Cricetulus griseus: one gene and its partners. The protein of the gene in region 1 purifies or fractionates together with the protein of each later gene. This does not show direct contact. Links are inferred from orthologs where the notes say so. Each region holds a gene or a part of one and is shown in the gene's direction. Other genes may lie near its edges. The genes, in order: Snip1, Rnps1, Nktr and Pnn.

Region 1 (3,916 bases):
CAGATTGGCTTGAAACTTGCTTAGTAGGTATTATAGGCAGGCCTAGAACTCTTTGGTTTTTTTGAGACAGGCTTTCTCTGTGTAGCTCTAACTGTCCTGGATCTTGTTCTGTAGACCAGGCTGGCCTTGAACTCAAAAGAGATTCACCTGCCTCTGCCTCCCAAGTGCTGGGATTAAAGCCAAGAGCCACCAGCCCTGGCTAGGCCTAGAACACGATCCCCCCCGCCCCCCATGGATTTAGGTTCTCATTCTCACTATATCACTTGGCTGACCTGAAACTCTGCCTCTTCCTCCTGAGTGCAGCCCCAGTCCCTTCTCCTTTGATAGTAGCTATTCCTGACCTTTTTAATTTAGCAAATCTGAGAAAATTTCTATTTTAACATTGGTCCTCTGGTTCCTAGCGAGACAGGTGGTCACTAACTGTTAGCTTCTTCTGGAGACTGCTGTTGAGGCTTTGCCTGTGGACTGGCTGATTACTGATTGATTTCTCATTGGTCTGTTTTTGTCCTTGTTTTTTTGAGACAGCATTTCTTTGTGTGATAGCCTTCCTGTGTAATAGCATGCTGGAACTCTGTAGATCAGACTGGCCTCAAACTCACAGAGGCCTGCCTGTCCCTACCCCCTGAATACTGGGGTCAAAAGCATGTGCCACCACCATCAGTCTCTCATTGATCTACTGGTGTGTTATGTGTATTGTAGTTTCTGCCAGGCTGATTTTTTTTTTTTAAAGATTTATTCATTTATTATGCATACAGTGTCCTGTCTGGATGTATGCCTGCAGGCCAGAAGAGGGCACCAGATCTTTTTACAGATGGTTGTGAGCCACTATGTGGTTGCTGGGAATCGAATTCAGGACCTCTGGTAGAGCAGTCAGTGCTCTTAACCTTTGAGCCATCTCTCCAGCCCCATGCCAGGCTGATTTTTAGTATGTAATTGTTGAAGCTGGAGCTTTTGAAATTATTTCAGTTTCTTTTTGGCTTATGAGGAAGTTGACTTTTTCCTTTACATAAATGTAATGGTTCTGTCCCCCCTCCCCCTCCTTCTCTCCCCCTCCCTCCCTTCCTCTCTTTTTCTCTCTGGAGGGAGGACAGGTTTTGTGTAGCCTTGGCTGGCTGTCTTGGAACTCACTCTGTAGACTAGGCTGGCCTCAAACTCAGAGATCCACCTGCCTTTGCCTCCCAGGTGCTGGGATTAATGGAGTGAACCACCACCACCACCTGGCTACTCTGTTCTGTTTTCTACACATGCTGCCCTGTGAGTTTGCTAGCAGGTGACTGATGGGAATATTATTTCTCCTTCCCTCTGTATCAGCCTCTTGTTTTGAGGGCTCTGGATGTGGGCTTGGGCTATCAGGCCTGTATTTGAGGAGCAGCATGGAGTATAGTCATAATGGCCCTCCAGGGGAACAGAACTACCACAGATGACACTCCAGGGGAATAGAACAGATAGTCTTGTGTAGATAGGAATTTGCTCTGAATATCATCAGCACTCAGGTTATAGATGTGTTGTTCATTTTGGGGGATTTAATTATTTTATGTGTGTGGGTGTTTTGCCTGCATGGATATCTACACCATATAGATGCAGTGCCCATGCTTACCACAAGAGAGCATTGGATCCCCTTGGAATGATAGTCACAGATTGTGAACAGTTATGTGGGTGCTAGGAACTGAACCTGGGTCCTGGAACAGCAGTCAGTGCTCTTAACTGCTGAGCCATCTCCCCAGCCCTGACAGCTTATTCACAGAGTAGAAGCCGTCTTTCCTTTACTGAATGCATCTTAATTTCAGGAACGTGAGGACCATCCTCGGAGAGGACGAGAAGATCGGCAGCACCGAGAGCCATCAGAACAGGAGCAGAGGAGAGCTCGTAACAGTGAGCGAGACCGGCACCGGGGCCATTCCCGCCAAAAGAGGAGCTCTGATGAGAGGCCTGTCAGTGGTCAGGGTCGGGACCGAGACAGCCAAATTCTGCAGGCCCAGGAAGAAGAAAGGGACTTTCATAATGCCAGGCGCCGGGAGCATCGTCAGCAGAATGAAGGTGCTGGCGGTGAAGCTCAGGAGGTGATCCCTCGCCCTGCTGGTAACAGAAGCAGAGAGGTGCCTGTTAAAGAAAAACCAAGCTTTGAACTTTCTGGGGCACTTCTTGAGGACACCAATACCTTCCGGGGTGTGGTTATTAAGTACAGTGAGCCCCCAGAAGCCCGGATCCCAAAAAAACGGTGGCGTCTGTACCCCTTTAAAAATGATGAGGTACTTCCCGTCATGTACATCCATCGGCAGAGTGCTTACCTTCTGGGCCGACATCGCCGCATCGCCGACATTCCCATCGACCATCCCTCCTGCTCAAAGCAGCACGCAGTCTTCCAGTATCGGTAGGTAGACCAGGAGGAGGACTGGAAAGGGAGCTGGGGTGAGTGTCTCATTGAGGACCCCTATGCTGTTTGTGGAGATGCAGAAGAGGCCATTACACCTTGTATCTAATAAGCTGGGCTGAAAGAGTCTAGCAGTCCTTGAGTAATCTCTTAACATTTGTGTGAGAATCTTGAACTTGATATCAGAAACCCAGATTAGCCGCTATCATTGCGGTGGTGCAGGCCTATAATCTCAGGTGTCAGAAGGCCAAGCAAGTATAAGCCAGAGTCAGAATGCCAGGTATATGCTGGCTGAATCTGCTGCTTAGATCATATTACCGTTACTATCTGATCCTCCACAGTCCCGTGGGAAAACAGGACCAGTGTTAACATCCTCATTTGACATCTGGGAAAACTGCAGCTCAGCACAGTTGCTGGTAGCAGTAATGATCTTCAGAGCAGAGCTCTGTCTCATATCCCGCCCTTGACACGAAAGTCTCATCTCATTCTAATGTTTTTCCCCATTTGGGCTGGTGCTAAAATAGCTGTACAGCATTGGAGGAAGTATATTTGTAGCCATAGCAAGAAGCCTTGAGTTCTACATTGGGATATCTCATGGCCCTCCATCCCCACCCACCACCCACAGCCAGCTCTACTTTTTCTCTTAGATATATTTAAACTGCTCCCAATTTCCCTGTCCAGGGCAGTGCTTCCCCTGTGACCTTCCAGAGGTTTTGTTTGAACCATGTTCGAGTCAGGTCAGTGACATCTAGATCTGTAGCAGAGAGCTGCAGAGTAGATGGTCCCTGGTAGGACTTGCTCACATGCTTCTCTCACTGGTCTCTTCTAGGCTTGTGGAGTACACTCGTGCTGACGGCACAGTTGGTCGGAGGGTGAAACCCTACATCATTGATCTGGGCTCAGGCAACGGGACCTTCCTAAACAACAAGCGTATTGAACCACAGAGGTACTATGAACTGAAGGAAAAAGACGTCCTTAAATTTGGGTTCAGTAGCAGAGAATATGTCTTGCTCCATGAGTCTTCAGACACATCTGAACTAGATAGAAAGGAAGACGAAGATGACGAGGAGGAGGAAATGGTGTCTGACAGCTAGCAACTGAGAAGCACCCACCCCCTCCCCCATGAGAATCCGTTCCTCCTGGAGGCCATGGGGTTGACTCCAGCGCCTCTTCTTGCCTTAAGTCTTTTCTCTGTTGCTGCCCAGCTTGTGTTGCAGTATGAGAACTCTCACTTCGTGTTTTGTTGAACTTGGCACAGCAGCCGCCTGCCTGTGGGCGCTTGTTTTCAGAACAATCTCACCAATTACAGCATGTTGAGTTTTGGTCAAAGTGTGTGGCTGTAGTGGGTGCCTTCAGAACTGCTGCACAGGAAACTTAAGCCCTTGGAAAGGGGATTGTGGCTTGTTCTCTTTGTACAGTTTCTTATTTATATAGTCGTTGAGCTTTGTGGACCAGGAGTTTTGTTTTGGTGACAAACCCTAGAGCAGAGAATCTCAGTAAGCTTTGGTTGTCACCAAAACAGCCTCCAGCTTATACCAAAGCTTT
Region 2 (3,916 bases), on another chromosome or scaffold:
CAGTAAACATGCTCGCTGCCAAGCCTATCCACCAGAGTCCCTGTCCCTGGAACACACATGGAAGAGGCTGAGAGACCCAGCTTCTACAACTTATCCTCTAACCTCCACACGTGTTACCTTGTTACACGCCCACACAGAATACAAGGGGTGTGTGGGTATGGGTGGGTGTATGTTTTAATTTGAAGGGTTTCTAAATCGGGAATAATGTATTAGTTAATGTTCTACTGTTGTGAAAAGACATGACCAAGGCAATTCTTATAAAGGAAAGCTTTTTCTTTTTTTCCTATTTATTTGGTTTTTCAGGGCAGGGTCTCTCTGTATGTGGTTTTAGCTGTCCTAAAATGGCTCTGTAGAGCGGGCTGGCCTCAAATTCACAGAGATCTGCCTGCCTCTACCTCCCAAGTGCTGGGAGTAAAGGCGTGCACCACCACCATCCAGCTAAGGGAAAACATTTAATTGGAACTGGCTTATAGTGTCACAAGATTAGTCCTCATCCCCATGTACCCTCCTGGGTGCTGGGATTTTAGGCATATACCACCACACCCCGCTGATATTTGCCCGTTTTCAGAGCTGGGAGCCAGCCAAATCTGGGACCTTGTCCTGAATTCTACCTCCAGACCCATTATAGTTAATGGATATTGAAAATTTTATTTTCAGATCCAAACCACCTAAAAGAGATGAAAAGGAAAGGAAGAGGCGAAGCCCTTCACCTAAACCCACCAAGGTGCACATTGGGAGGCTTACCAGGAATGTGACCAAGGTAAGAATCTCAGATCATGAGGATTGGGTTGTGTGGCTGAACAAGCTGGTGTCTGGCAACTAGTACATCTAGGATGTAATCCTTCTTTCAAAGAAGTAGCCCATGGCTTGATTGGAACGCTGCTTAATCCTTTTTGATGGACTTAATCCATTAGACTTATGCCCAGGACACTTTGGCCCCAGTGACACATCTTGTCAAATGGCAGGATGTTTTAACACTACTGGGGATTTACTCAGTTTTTAGTGAATTCCCCTTTGACAGTTAAGTAATAGATGGGTAAGCAAGGATGTGATCTTCTTTCTCTAGGATCATATCATGGAAATATTTTCTACTTATGGAAAAATTAAAATGATTGACATGCCTGTAGAAAGGATGCATCCTCATCTGTCCAAAGGCTACGCATATGTGGAGTTTGAGAATCCAGATGAGGCAGAGAAGGCACTGAAACACATGGATGGAGGTTAGTGATCCTGTGGCCACCTCAGCCCTGTCACATCTGTCCTCATAGACAACCTGATTGCTTGTGGGACCCTTGGAGTAGATTTCCAACCCAGGTGCTTCTGAGTCTCAGCAGAGCCCTTTGTAGATTCTGGTTCTTGCTCAGTGGGGTGTATTTACCAAGAACATGTTTTCTGAAGCACTCACTATCCTGAAAAGAAAAAGTCAGCAAATATGAATATATTAGCATTTTAAGAATTTTTCAACCTGTTAAAAACCTGTGGATCAGGGGGCTGGAGAAATGGCTCAGCGGTTAAGAGCACTGGCTCTTCCTCCAGAGGTCCTGAGTTCAATTCCCAGCAACCACATGGTGGCTCACAACCACCCAAATGAGATCTGGTGCCCTCTGCTGGCATGCAGACACAAGAATGTATACATAATAAAGAAAAAAAGAAAAAAACCTGTGGATCAAATGAATATTTTCTTTTATCATTTTGAGAATGCTTTTCAATTTTGCCAACATTTCAGCATTTTGGGATTATTTTGCTGCATGGGTACATGGTACATGTTTTTTAACATAACTATAATGGTAGAATGGGTTTTTTGTGTTTGTTTAATTTGGTTTACGGTTTGGGGTGGGGGGGATTTGAGACAGGATTTTTCTTTGTAAACCACTCTAGCTGTCCTGGAACTAGCTGTGTAGAGCTGGCTGGCCTTGAACTCACAGAGATCCTCCTGCCTCTGCCTCCCTGGTGATGGGATTAAGTGTTAACTTCCGAATGGGTTTTGGTGGTCTTCAAATCAGCGTTTTAGAGAATGCAGTTTGTGTCCAGCTCTAGGATGTAGGCCACTGAGACTGAGAACTGGCAGCTTGATGCCTGTTAGCTTTACTAATATCTTAAAAGTTTCAGTTAGGGTTTTGTTGGTTTTCAATGACTGCCTTTGATTGTGGATTTTCTTTGATATGTAAGCCACTTTTAATTCACTTTAGGCTGCCTCAAGTGTTTCAAGAGTTCAGCATAAGCTACCTGTATCATTCTTGTCAGCTCAGATCTTGTGAATCACTTTCACTTTCAAAGTCTGCTTATCATCTGGTATTGCCAGAGTGAGCATTGCTAATCAGTTTTTAAAAACCCAGGGAATTAGAGACATGAAGAGTGGCCTTAAAGACGACTGGCTAAATGATAGATGTATCTTATCTATTCAGTTAGTGCAATGACATTCTTGCAATGGTTTGGCTGTGGGATTAGGCTGGGTTTAGTTATGTTTAACCACTGGCATTAAATGGATGTGTTTGAATGAGCCCCTAGGTACTGCAAGGTAAGAAGAGTTATGCCCATTGTTGACACAGATGAGCTAGGTTTGGGCCCTAGGGACCCTAGATGTGGAGACAGTCTGCAACTGTTAGGTGTTCCCACGTCCGCGTCTCAATGCTCTTTGCTTTTTTTCTCTCTGAGACCCTGTATGTTCCTGACTTTGTCCTCTTCCTGTCCCTGCCAAGAGCCTCAATCATGCCCATAAGTCCTGTGCTATCTTGTCACTTGTCCCACTGTTGGTCCTTCTGTGTCTTCTACCTAGCAAGATTCAACACATTCTTCAGAACTTTGCGTGGCTTGTGTATCTTCTGGGAAGTTGTTCCTATTCAGTTGGATCTTATGTCCTGTTGCTGTTTTTTGTTTGTTTAATTTTAACAACCCTGGCTGTCCTGGAACTCCCTCTGTAGACCAAGCTGACCTCAGACTCACACAGATTCACCTCACCTGCCTCTGCTTCTCAAGTGCTGGGATTAAAGGCGTGCACCACCACTGCCCAGCTATCTGGGGTTATCTAATGATTATTTACCTTGGTATGCTGAACACCTGACTTTGTGCTTGTCTGGAATAGGCGGGATTTTGTCTTGTATTTGAGACAGGGTCTCCCTATGTACCTCTCTTTGGTCTTACCTGGAACTTACAATGTAGACCAGGCTGGCTACAAATTCTCAAGAGATCCACCTGTTCTATCTCTGCTTCTCAAATGCTGGAATTAAAGGTGTGGCCATCATACCTACCTGTTTCACTTTGACAAAGCTAATTAAGGGTACTCTACCTCCTGAGTGCTGAGATTTGCGGCATGTGTCACACACCATCACAGGTGTGAGTATGTTAAGTATTTAATATTAGAGCTTTTATGCTTTTGTCCCTTTTTTCTACAGGACAAATAGATGGCCAAGAGATCACTGCTACTGCCGTGTTGGCACCCTGGCCTAGACCACCCCCACGGCGATTCAGCCCACCCAGGAGAATGCTTCCACCGCCTCCCATGTGGCGCAGGTCACCCCCACGGATGAGGAGGAGGTGAGTTAATTTGGAATTGTCCTTGACCCATTTGGCTTCTTTATGTGAATTATACACCTGAATGGCTGTGATGATTTTGGGGTCCTTCGTTGTTATTGACAGGCAGATGAGGCCAGTCCAAGGAACCCATATCTATAAAATCTGAGTTAGCACAGGCCCCCTGGAAACCAGGTTCATTCCTGGGTGGCCTTCTTGGCAGGGTGGTACAGGCCTCTAATGCCAGAATACAGGAGGCAGAGGCAGGTGGATCTCTGAGGTCAAGGACAGCCAGGGTTATACAGAGAAAAGACACTGTTTGAAAAACAAAAACTATAGACTCTAAGAGGGGTTAAGAGAAAAGCTTTAGGGTCAGACAGTTCGTATGGTTGTAAACAAGATTATG
Region 3 (3,916 bases), on another chromosome or scaffold:
CAATTCAAAATTTTAGTACTCTGGGTTTTTTTCTCTCCTTGTAATTTTTTTGGAAAACTTTTGTTTGCTCTGGATTTGTCACTGTTGGTGTTTTACATATTTGTAAAAGTCAGAGCTTCAGGGTGAGTGCACTTTGCTGCCTTTATTTTATAAAATACTGGCATCTAAATTGGTGACTTGATTTATTGCAGTTATTCTGGAAGGAGTGATGTGAATGAAAAAGGGTCAGGTGACTGGAGTGCTAAGAGAGAAAAGCCGGTTGTCCGTCCAGAAGAGATCCCTCCAGTCCCTGAGAACCGGTTCTTACTTCGCAGAGATATGCCTGCTGTCACAGTGGAGCCTGAACCGTAAGTAGGCTGATGAGCACAGTCCTCTTCTCCAAGGCAGGAGTACGACAACATATTGATTGGCTATAACATACATACATACATACATACATACATACATACATACATACATACATGAGTCATTTACTTACTGATTGGCTGGACGACTTTGGAAATTTATTTTGTTTTTTACACCTGCAAGTCCATAGGACAGCTAGGTTTTTTTGTTTGTTTGTTTGTTTGTTTGTTTGTTTGTTTTGTTTTGTTTTTTCCCCTCAGGGAACATGCAGAGGGTATGCCAGGGAGGAGTGCTGTCACTCGGCTGGCTTTCTCCTGCCTCTTGTAATCTCCCTGGCCCTAGCACATGGGATAGTTAGTGTGCCCAGTCTCTTAGGTGACTGGATATCCAGGCAAGTTAACAGCAATGATTAGCTATTGCCCTGTATATTTTTGTTTCTCTGATGGGTAAGTCCATTATTTCATTGCAACTTTAGACTCACCATGACTCGGGCTCAGAGTACACAGAAAGATAGTTTGGGTGATCAGCAGAGCTCTGAGTGGCTTGTGCCTCCTTTATTGAATCCACATTTGATACATGAACAGGTAAAGGAAGTGGGCAGGTTATTCACTGAAGGTATGCTTTGCTGTGGTGGTTAGGTGGTTTTGTCTGCTTATGGATCTCGCTGTGTGTCACAGGCGAGCCTTGAACTTGGGATGCTTCTGCTTTACCCCCCAGAGTATTGGGTTGCAGGTGTGTCTTTGCTGCCACGCTGGTGGGGAGGGAAGCGTTTGTGAGAGCTATGGGAGCATTGCATCGCTGCTCTTGCTGCACTGTAATGCAGTTGTTCACACTGGGCTATCAGGTGGATTGCACCTAGGGCATCCAAATGAGTGGGGACATCTGTTTCACTTTGTTTTGTTTTGTTTTCTGATTTTTCGAGACAGGGTTTCTCTGTGTAGCTTTGTAGACAGGCTGACCTCAAACTCACAGAGATCCGCCTGCCTCTGCCTCCCGAGTGCTGGGATTAAAGGTGTGCGCCACCACGTGGCTCTGTTTCACTTTATTGGTTTTTTTTTTTTTTTAAAGATTTTATTTATTTATTATGTATACAACATTCTGCTTCCATGTATATCTGCACACCAGAAGAGGGCACCAGATCTCATAACGGATGGTTGTGAGCCACCATGTGGTTGCTGGGAATTGAACTCAGGACCTCTGGAAGAGTAGTCGGTGCTCTTAAACCTCTGAGCCATGTCTCCAGCCCCATCTGTTTCACTTTTAATAGTGCAAAGTTAATTACATAATGACCGAAGATAGTTTGCTATCATAAATATTACTGTAGTTAATTTCCCTGAATTGTGGCTTTAGAGTTAGTCTCAGCAAATAGTATTTAATATACTTTGTGTAATAGATTTCAATTCAGAATTATTAAAAGGATATGAGCATGGTGATATATGCATGTAGCCTAGCCATGGGGAAGGTTTTTTTTAATGTGTGAAAAGATTTTGTTTTTATTTATTCAATGTGTCTTTCATATCACCCATCTGGATACCATTCATTTCCCTGTCTGTCCCTTTGCATCTGCCCTCTGCCTCTGCAAGCCTCCCCTCCCCCAAATAAAACACAATGTAAGAAAGAAAAGGAAAACATTAATAATCTCATCATGGAAGCTGCGTTGTGGCACAGTGTGTCATGTAATAAACCCCTTTGTTCATGTATCTTATAAGTGTTTATTGCAAAGGGTCATTGGTCCACTTCTAGGCCTCTGGCTTCTGCTTCACCATTGATGTTTGGCCCTCACTGAGACTCCTCTTGGTTATCCTGCTGTTGCCTGGGTTGTGGAGATCCTGCAGCTTTGGGTCTGCAGGTCAGGCCCCTTCATGTGCTCCAGCAGATGATAGATGGGGCAGGCCAAATCAGAACCTTGGTTCTGGGCCTGGGCAGCTGTAGGGTTGGTTAGCCAGCCAGTCAGTTCTCCCCTCTCCTCACCACCAGGGTGAGCTTTGCAGCGTTGCCCCAGCTGATTGACCTCTTGCAGCAATGAGCTAGGGGCGGGGCCAGTTCTGCTTTCACGCCCTTAGGGTTGACTCTCTCCCACCGACACCACAGGGCCAGCTCTGCTGTGCTGCCCAGGGGAGGAGCAGGGCCTGCTTTCCTGGTGCTGCAGCTGGCAAGGGGGAGAGGCATGCTGCTCGTGTGTTGCAGGCAGTAAGTGGTGGGGGCACCTCGCCCCACTTACAGTCTCCACGTTGGCTCACCCACACCTCTGCCATCAGGGTTAGCTCTATTGTGCTGCCCAGCCTAGGTGCGGGGCCTGATTTCCTAGTGTTGTAGCCCCTAGAGGGCAGGGACAGCTGGGGAGTATCATTTGACCTCGGGAGTGGTGTCCATCCTGAACAACATCACAAGGTGTAATCTCAAAAGAGGGAGGTGGGGAGGGAGAAGGAGGGAAAACTGTGATGCCTGAACAACAATGCTGCAGTGCCTGGTGCAAGTGGTGTGTCCCTGTGAGCAGCTGCTGAGAAAGCCGAGCAGCGAAGCACAGCTGCACCGCTGCCCTGCACAGCCTCCTGTGTGCTTGTTTACTTGTGACGCAGGGTCCTGCTGGGTGGCCTAGGCTGCCATCGAACTCCCCACATGCTGAGATTACAGGCATGTGCTGGCATGGCTGGCTTCCTTCAAAAATCTTTTACTTAAAAAAAAAAAGCATTTATTAGAAGATGAAATGCTTGTTTTTCAAGTGCATATTTACTAATGGAATTCTTCTAGGGCAGGGTAACTCTCATCAAGAGCTCAAGTCAGTGTTCTCTGTTAGATCAGTTATTAGAGCTGTTGATCTGACAGTCTGCAGTGAGAGTTCACTCACCTCATGTTTGCAGGGTCATGTATGTAGCACTTGAAATGCTGACTGTACCTGGTGATGTGTGCTGCACCTCCTAGCTGCGTGAGGGAGCTCAGAAATAGCTGGATGGATGTGACTGCTCTCATAAAACTTTATGGGAAGACATTCTGGCGTCTGCCCATCTTTAATTGTCATCACCACTTTTTCAGGAACATCCCAGATGTTGCACCTGTTGTAAGTGATCAGAAACCATCTGTATCAAAGTCTGGAAGGAAAATTAGAGGAAGAGGCACAATTGTACGTATGTTAGAACTTTTTTCTTTCAAATTGCTTACCTAAATAGTAACTTTTTAAAATTTAAAGATCTGAGGTTTAGTTTTAGATAGATTATTTCTCGTGTCAGGCCGTGGTGGCACACTTTTTTTTTTTTTCTCTCTTGAGACAGGGGGTGGCACATACTTTTAATTCCAGTACTTGGGAGATGGAGGCAGGTGGATCTCTGAGATTGAAGCCATCCTGGTCTACAGAGTGAGCTCCAGGACAGCCAGGGCTGCACAGAGAAACCCTGTCTAAAGAAAAAGAAAAGAAAAAGACTATTTTACTTATTTAAGGAATTGTTTTTTATTTCCCATAGTTTGGGAAGGTACTCACTCCCATCGCATACATTTACAGCTGTGGGTAGATTTAATTATTCAGTGATGTAATACATGAAAAGGTATATTGAGAAATCTTAGTCTATGGAGTACT
Region 4 (4,529 bases), on another chromosome or scaffold:
TTGTTTTTTGAGACAGGGTTTCTCTGTATTGCTTTGGAGGTTGTCCTGGAACTTGATCTGTAAACCAGGATGGCCTCCAACTCACAGAGATCCACCTGCCTCTGCCTCCTGAGTGCTGGAACTAAAGGCGTGTGCCACCAATGCCCAGCTAAATATAATAAAAAAATTTTATATAATTTATAGAATGAATTTACTAGTCACATCTTTTCATTGGCTGCATTTTACCAACAAAATATTTTGTTTGATACCTGGCCTTTAGCATATAAGACACTATGGGTTCTTATAGTGTCATTACCTCTTAGATGGCATATTATATATCAAACTATATATATATGCATACACATATACATATATATACATACACACACACACACACACACACACACACATATATATATATATATATATATATATTGCCTTTTTTCGAGACAGGGTTTCTCTGTTGCTTTGGAGCCTATCCTGGAACTAGTTCTGTAAGCCAGGAGGCCTAAAACTCACAGAGATCCGCCTGCCTCTGCCTCCCCAGTGCAGAGATTAAAGGTATGTGTCACCACCACCTGGAAAAAATTCTCATTCTTTTTCATGAAGCAATCCTCTAAGGATTTGATCTCTGTGCAACGTTTTCTGAAATACAAGCTGTCCATCTATTCTGGAACACAACCAGTTCCAATGTTGGCTGTGCAGGAAGGTCAGAGGGAAATCTGGGAAACACACACAACAAAATACTGGCCACTTCCCCAGGCCCACTATTAAATTAGCGGGCTCTAGGCCTGGTGAAGATTAAGGCAGTCAGTCTTGCTCCGGTCAGATCACAAACGACCTCTCAATATAGATCTGACTTGACCTGCTTGACCTAGGGAAACCGAAGCCTCCATTCACTTATTATTAATAACCATTTTACCCAAGTTTCTAATATTTAACGACTAAGGCATGCGAAACGAAACGCAGTTTCCACAATTATTATCTGTTAGGAGGAAGACCCGTGGTGGTTCTTCGCTTTAGGTTCAGTTCACTTTAATGGAAGGCAGCCTGCACCTCCCTGCCCTCTGGGCATGCGCAACAGCCTATAAATTGCCATGCCCTTTCCTAACTAAATCTCTTGTGAAGGGAAAGAAGGGAAGATACAGTCGCTTCCGTCGCTTCCGTCCCCTGGGTGTGAGTGGATGTTTAAAATCGCTATAAAGTGAACGGCACCGCAGATTTAAGAGGGCTGCCTTCGCAGACGCGCAAGCTCGCGTCTACCACACGGACATAATCCCTCCCCGCTCTGCGCAAGAAGCAGAGCGCAACCACCCGCAGGCGGCGAGGGGGAGGAGCTGACCGCCGTGCCGGCTTCTCATTGGCCCGGAGTCACGGAGCTGCGGGCTTCTTCCCCTTCCGATCCCTGGGTGGTTGAGACCGAAAACTAAAGCCTGCGGTGATTGGCTGGGGCGGGCTGTCAGTCCTTCCGCGTCTGGCGGCGGGCGCGGCGCGGCACTGCGCGGCCTGTAGAGCAGTCGCGAAGCCTGCTGCAGAGAGAAGATGGCGGTCGCGGTGAGAACTTTGCAGGAGCAGCTGGAGAAGGCCAAAGAGAGCCTCAAGAACGTAGACGAGAACATCCGCAAGCTCACCGGGCGGGACCCAAATGATGTGAGGTAAGGGTGGGATGGAACATGCGAGGTGGGCGAGACACTCCTCGGGTCGGGGCGAACAGGGGCGAGAGGGCAGCCGGCCGGTTGTGGGCCGTCTGGGGTCAAGAAGCCTCTCTCCCGGGCAGCGGCCGAGCACGCTTCTCGGTTAGGGGGCGAGACGCCATCCCTGCGTCCCCGGGCGAGGGGAGCCAGGGCTTGCGGAGGCCGAGCGAACCTGACTGCGCGGCATGGCTTCCGCACCCGTGGGAAGGCCGAGACCACGGCTTCCCGCCCTTGGCGCCGCAGGCCCGGAACTGCAGTACAAAGCCCCTTCCCACCCCGCCGTCCCCCGGCCCGCGCCAAAGCGGAGATGCCCGGCCCATGCGGGTGGCCGCCTCTCTCCCTACCCTGGACTGTGTGTCCCTCCCTCCCTTGGGGCTGGCAGATAGGAGCTAATCCAGCCTTATTAATTAATGTGTAGCGGTTTCGAGGTAAATATATTTCCCGAAATACTGCGTTTGGGGAAACCAGGAAGAGGATAGTAATGTCCTGTCTCATAGAAGTGGCTCTGAAACCGTCGTTTTAGAACTGTGTTCAGTTTTCCTTAGGGTGTACCACACCTGTGGAAGTATATGATGCCCTTGCGGATGACTACATAGGATTTTTGAACTGATTATAAATCTTTTGTAGGCCCATCCAAGCCAGATTGCTGGCCCTTTCTGGTCCTGGTGGAGGTAGAGGACGTGGTAGTTTATTGCTAAGGTAAGATCTTTCATATATGCTAACTAATGCTAAAATTTATCAACTTAAAAGAGTTATCAGGAGCTGGGGTGGTGGTCCATACCTTTAGTCCTAGCACGCAGGAGGCAAAGGCAGTGTGGTCTAAAAACGAGTTCCAGGACTGTTACACAGAAAAATCCTGGGGGGTGCAGGTCGGGGGGAGGGGGATTAGGTTGAATCAAATATATAGATAGATGTAGTGACCTGCCAGGTTTCTAATAAATGTATTGCAAAAGTAGAGGTTGAGCCGGGCATTGGTGGCGCACACGTTTAATCCCAGTACTCGGAAGGAGGCAGAGGCAGGCGGATTTCTGAGTTAGAGGCCAGCCTGGTCTACAAGAGCTAGTTCCAGGACAGGCTCCAAAACAATACAGAGAAACCCTGTCTTGAAAAACAAAAACAACAGAGTAGGGGTGGAAGAATATTAATTAGAACTGTTTCATATAAGCTTAATTGTGTTTTTGAGTACTGTAAATGTTTTTTGGCATCCGAGAATATAATTGGTGGTGGTAAAGTGTTTTGCAAGCCCCAGCAAGGGAAGAAGGCAACTCTTTTCCTGTGGATGCTAAGTTTACTTCATTTGGAAATGTTTTTATTTTTATAAAATCAGTTAAAATCATTCACCAACTGGAAATATCAATTTATCCTATGTTTCTCAGTCTTTCTGTTGGATGTTTTAATTGCAGGCGTGGATTCTCAGATAGTGGAGGAGGACCCCCAGCCAAACAGAGAGACCTGGAAGGGGCAGTCAGTAGGTATGTTTTCAGATTTCTGAAGCATCGGTATATGCATCATCTACTTCTGTATTTGTATTGGGATTTAGTGGCCTGTGGCTTCTCTCTGGAGTCCCTTTGGGTGTTTGAACTGTGCTAGCCAGTGTCTTACAAAAGTCTGTGGGATTGGAAGAAGCAATACTTTCTGTTTTGTACTTTGAAAACCATTGTGAGAAACGTGGGTACAGTGAAAGAGCCAAGTTTTGTGTGAACATTTTGCTTCTATTTTTTCACTGACAGGTAAATGAGATATAAGCTGATAGCATGTGGCTTCTGGAGAGGAGTCCTAGAAAACTCCCTTCCCTTGATGTGCACTTGATTCTGCAGTTCTCATTTAGATTATTTTTTTTCCTGTGATAGGCTGGGTGGGGAGCGTCGGACAAGAAGAGAATCACGCCAGGAAAGCGACCCAGAAGATGATGATGTCAAAAAGGTATTGAAATTAAATATTAGTGCATTTTGAAAAGCATGTTACCCATGTGCAGGAAATCACCAATATTTCCTTTTCTCTTGTAGCCAGCACTGCAGTCTTCTGTTGTAGCTACCTCCAAAGAGCGTACACGTAGAGACCTCATCCAGGATCAAAATATGGATGAAAAGGGAAAGCAAAGGTATCTGCAGAACTTGTCTGATAATAGCATACTAAGAAAAATTACACTCTTTTAAATGCCTTTAGCATCTCTTAGAAAATGGCGGGTTTAGTGTGGGTCATGCAGACATTGATTTTCTTTTGCTTTTTCTTAGGAACCGACGAATATTTGGCTTGTTGATGGGCACCCTTCAAAAATTCAAACAAGAATCTACCGTTGCAACTGAAAGGGTATTGCTGCAATTTTTGTTTTTCCTCATTTACTCATTACCAAATAGGGCACTAACGTTTTTAAAAAGAGCTTGAACTTTTTGTTTGTTTGTTTGTTTGTTTGTTTGTTTTTCGAGCAGGGTTTCTCTGTGGCTTTGAAGGCTGTCCTGGAACTAGCTCTTGTAGACCAGACTGGTCACGAACTCACAAGAGATCCAACTGCCTCTGCCTCCCGAGTGCTGGGATTTAAAGGCGTTCGCCACCAATGCCCGGCTGAACATTCTCTTTACTTTTGTGATAAGGACTTTTGCTAAGCTAAGGCTAAGCTGGTATTCACTATGTAGCTAAGAATGGCCTTGAAGTCTTGATGTTCCTACTTCTACCTTAGAGGCCCTGGGATTTATCTGTTTACTTATGTGTTTACTCATTTATTTGTTTGGTAGGTTACCTGCCCACCTTTGAATTTTTGAGATGGGAGTCTCACTGTATAGCTCTGTTTGGTTAAACCTAACTATGTAAACCAGTCCAGTCTTGGCTTCAACAAGATCTGTCTGCTTCTATGTCCTG

What was found.
Region 2: the proteins of Snip1 (region 1) and Rnps1 purify together in Homo sapiens (affinity purification with mass spectrometry; 4 studies listed by BioGRID and IntAct, counting the BioPlex papers as one, with this or other methods). This does not show direct contact. The link is inferred for Cricetulus griseus from reciprocal best matches to the Homo sapiens genes SNIP1 and RNPS1.
Region 3: the proteins of Snip1 (region 1) and Nktr purify together in Homo sapiens (affinity purification with mass spectrometry; 3 studies listed by BioGRID and IntAct, counting the BioPlex papers as one, with this or other methods). This does not show direct contact. The link is inferred for Cricetulus griseus from reciprocal best matches to the Homo sapiens genes SNIP1 and NKTR.
Region 4: the proteins of Snip1 (region 1) and Pnn purify together in Homo sapiens (affinity purification with mass spectrometry; 4 studies listed by BioGRID and IntAct, counting the BioPlex papers as one, with this or other methods). This does not show direct contact. The link is inferred for Cricetulus griseus from reciprocal best matches to the Homo sapiens genes SNIP1 and PNN.

Annotation. Positions count from the first base shown.
Region 1 is NC_048595.1:27,983,336-27,987,251, reverse strand, and holds part of Snip1 (smad nuclear-interacting protein 1), read left to right. Parts: intron 1-1,787; coding exon 1,788-2,371; intron 2,372-3,200; coding exon 3,201-3,465; 3' UTR 3,466-3,916. UniProt on the Homo sapiens protein: Required for pre-mRNA splicing as component of the spliceosome. As a component of the minor spliceosome, involved in the splicing of U12-type introns in pre-mRNAs. Down-regulates NF-kappa-B signaling by competing with RELA for CREBBP/EP300 binding.
Region 2 is NC_048600.1:43,961,543-43,965,458, forward strand, and holds part of Rnps1 (RNA-binding protein with serine-rich domain 1), read left to right. Parts: intron 1-657; coding exon 658-760; intron 761-1,066; coding exon 1,067-1,220; intron 1,221-3,392; coding exon 3,393-3,534; intron 3,535-3,916. UniProt on the Homo sapiens protein: Part of pre- and post-splicing multiprotein mRNP complexes. Auxiliary component of the splicing-dependent multiprotein exon junction complex (EJC) deposited at splice junction on mRNAs.
Region 3 is NC_048597.1:228,741,308-228,745,223, forward strand, and holds part of Nktr (NK-tumor recognition protein), read left to right. Parts: intron 1-191; coding exon 192-347; intron 348-3,378; coding exon 3,379-3,466; intron 3,467-3,765; exon of another isoform or gene 3,766-3,916. UniProt on the Homo sapiens protein: PPIase that catalyzes the cis-trans isomerization of proline imidic peptide bonds in oligopeptides and may therefore assist protein folding. Component of a putative tumor-recognition complex involved in the function of NK cells.
Region 4 is NC_048598.1:143,477,005-143,481,533, reverse strand, and holds the start of Pnn (pinin), read left to right. Parts: upstream 1-1,447; 5' UTR 1,448-1,521; coding exon 1,522-1,634; intron 1,635-2,300; coding exon 2,301-2,372; intron 2,373-3,076; coding exon 3,077-3,145; intron 3,146-3,523; coding exon 3,524-3,596; intron 3,597-3,679; coding exon 3,680-3,774; intron 3,775-3,907; coding exon 3,908-3,983; intron 3,984-4,529. UniProt on the Homo sapiens protein: Transcriptional activator binding to the E-box 1 core sequence of the E-cadherin promoter gene; the core-binding sequence is 5'CAGGTG-3'. Capable of reversing CTBP1-mediated transcription repression.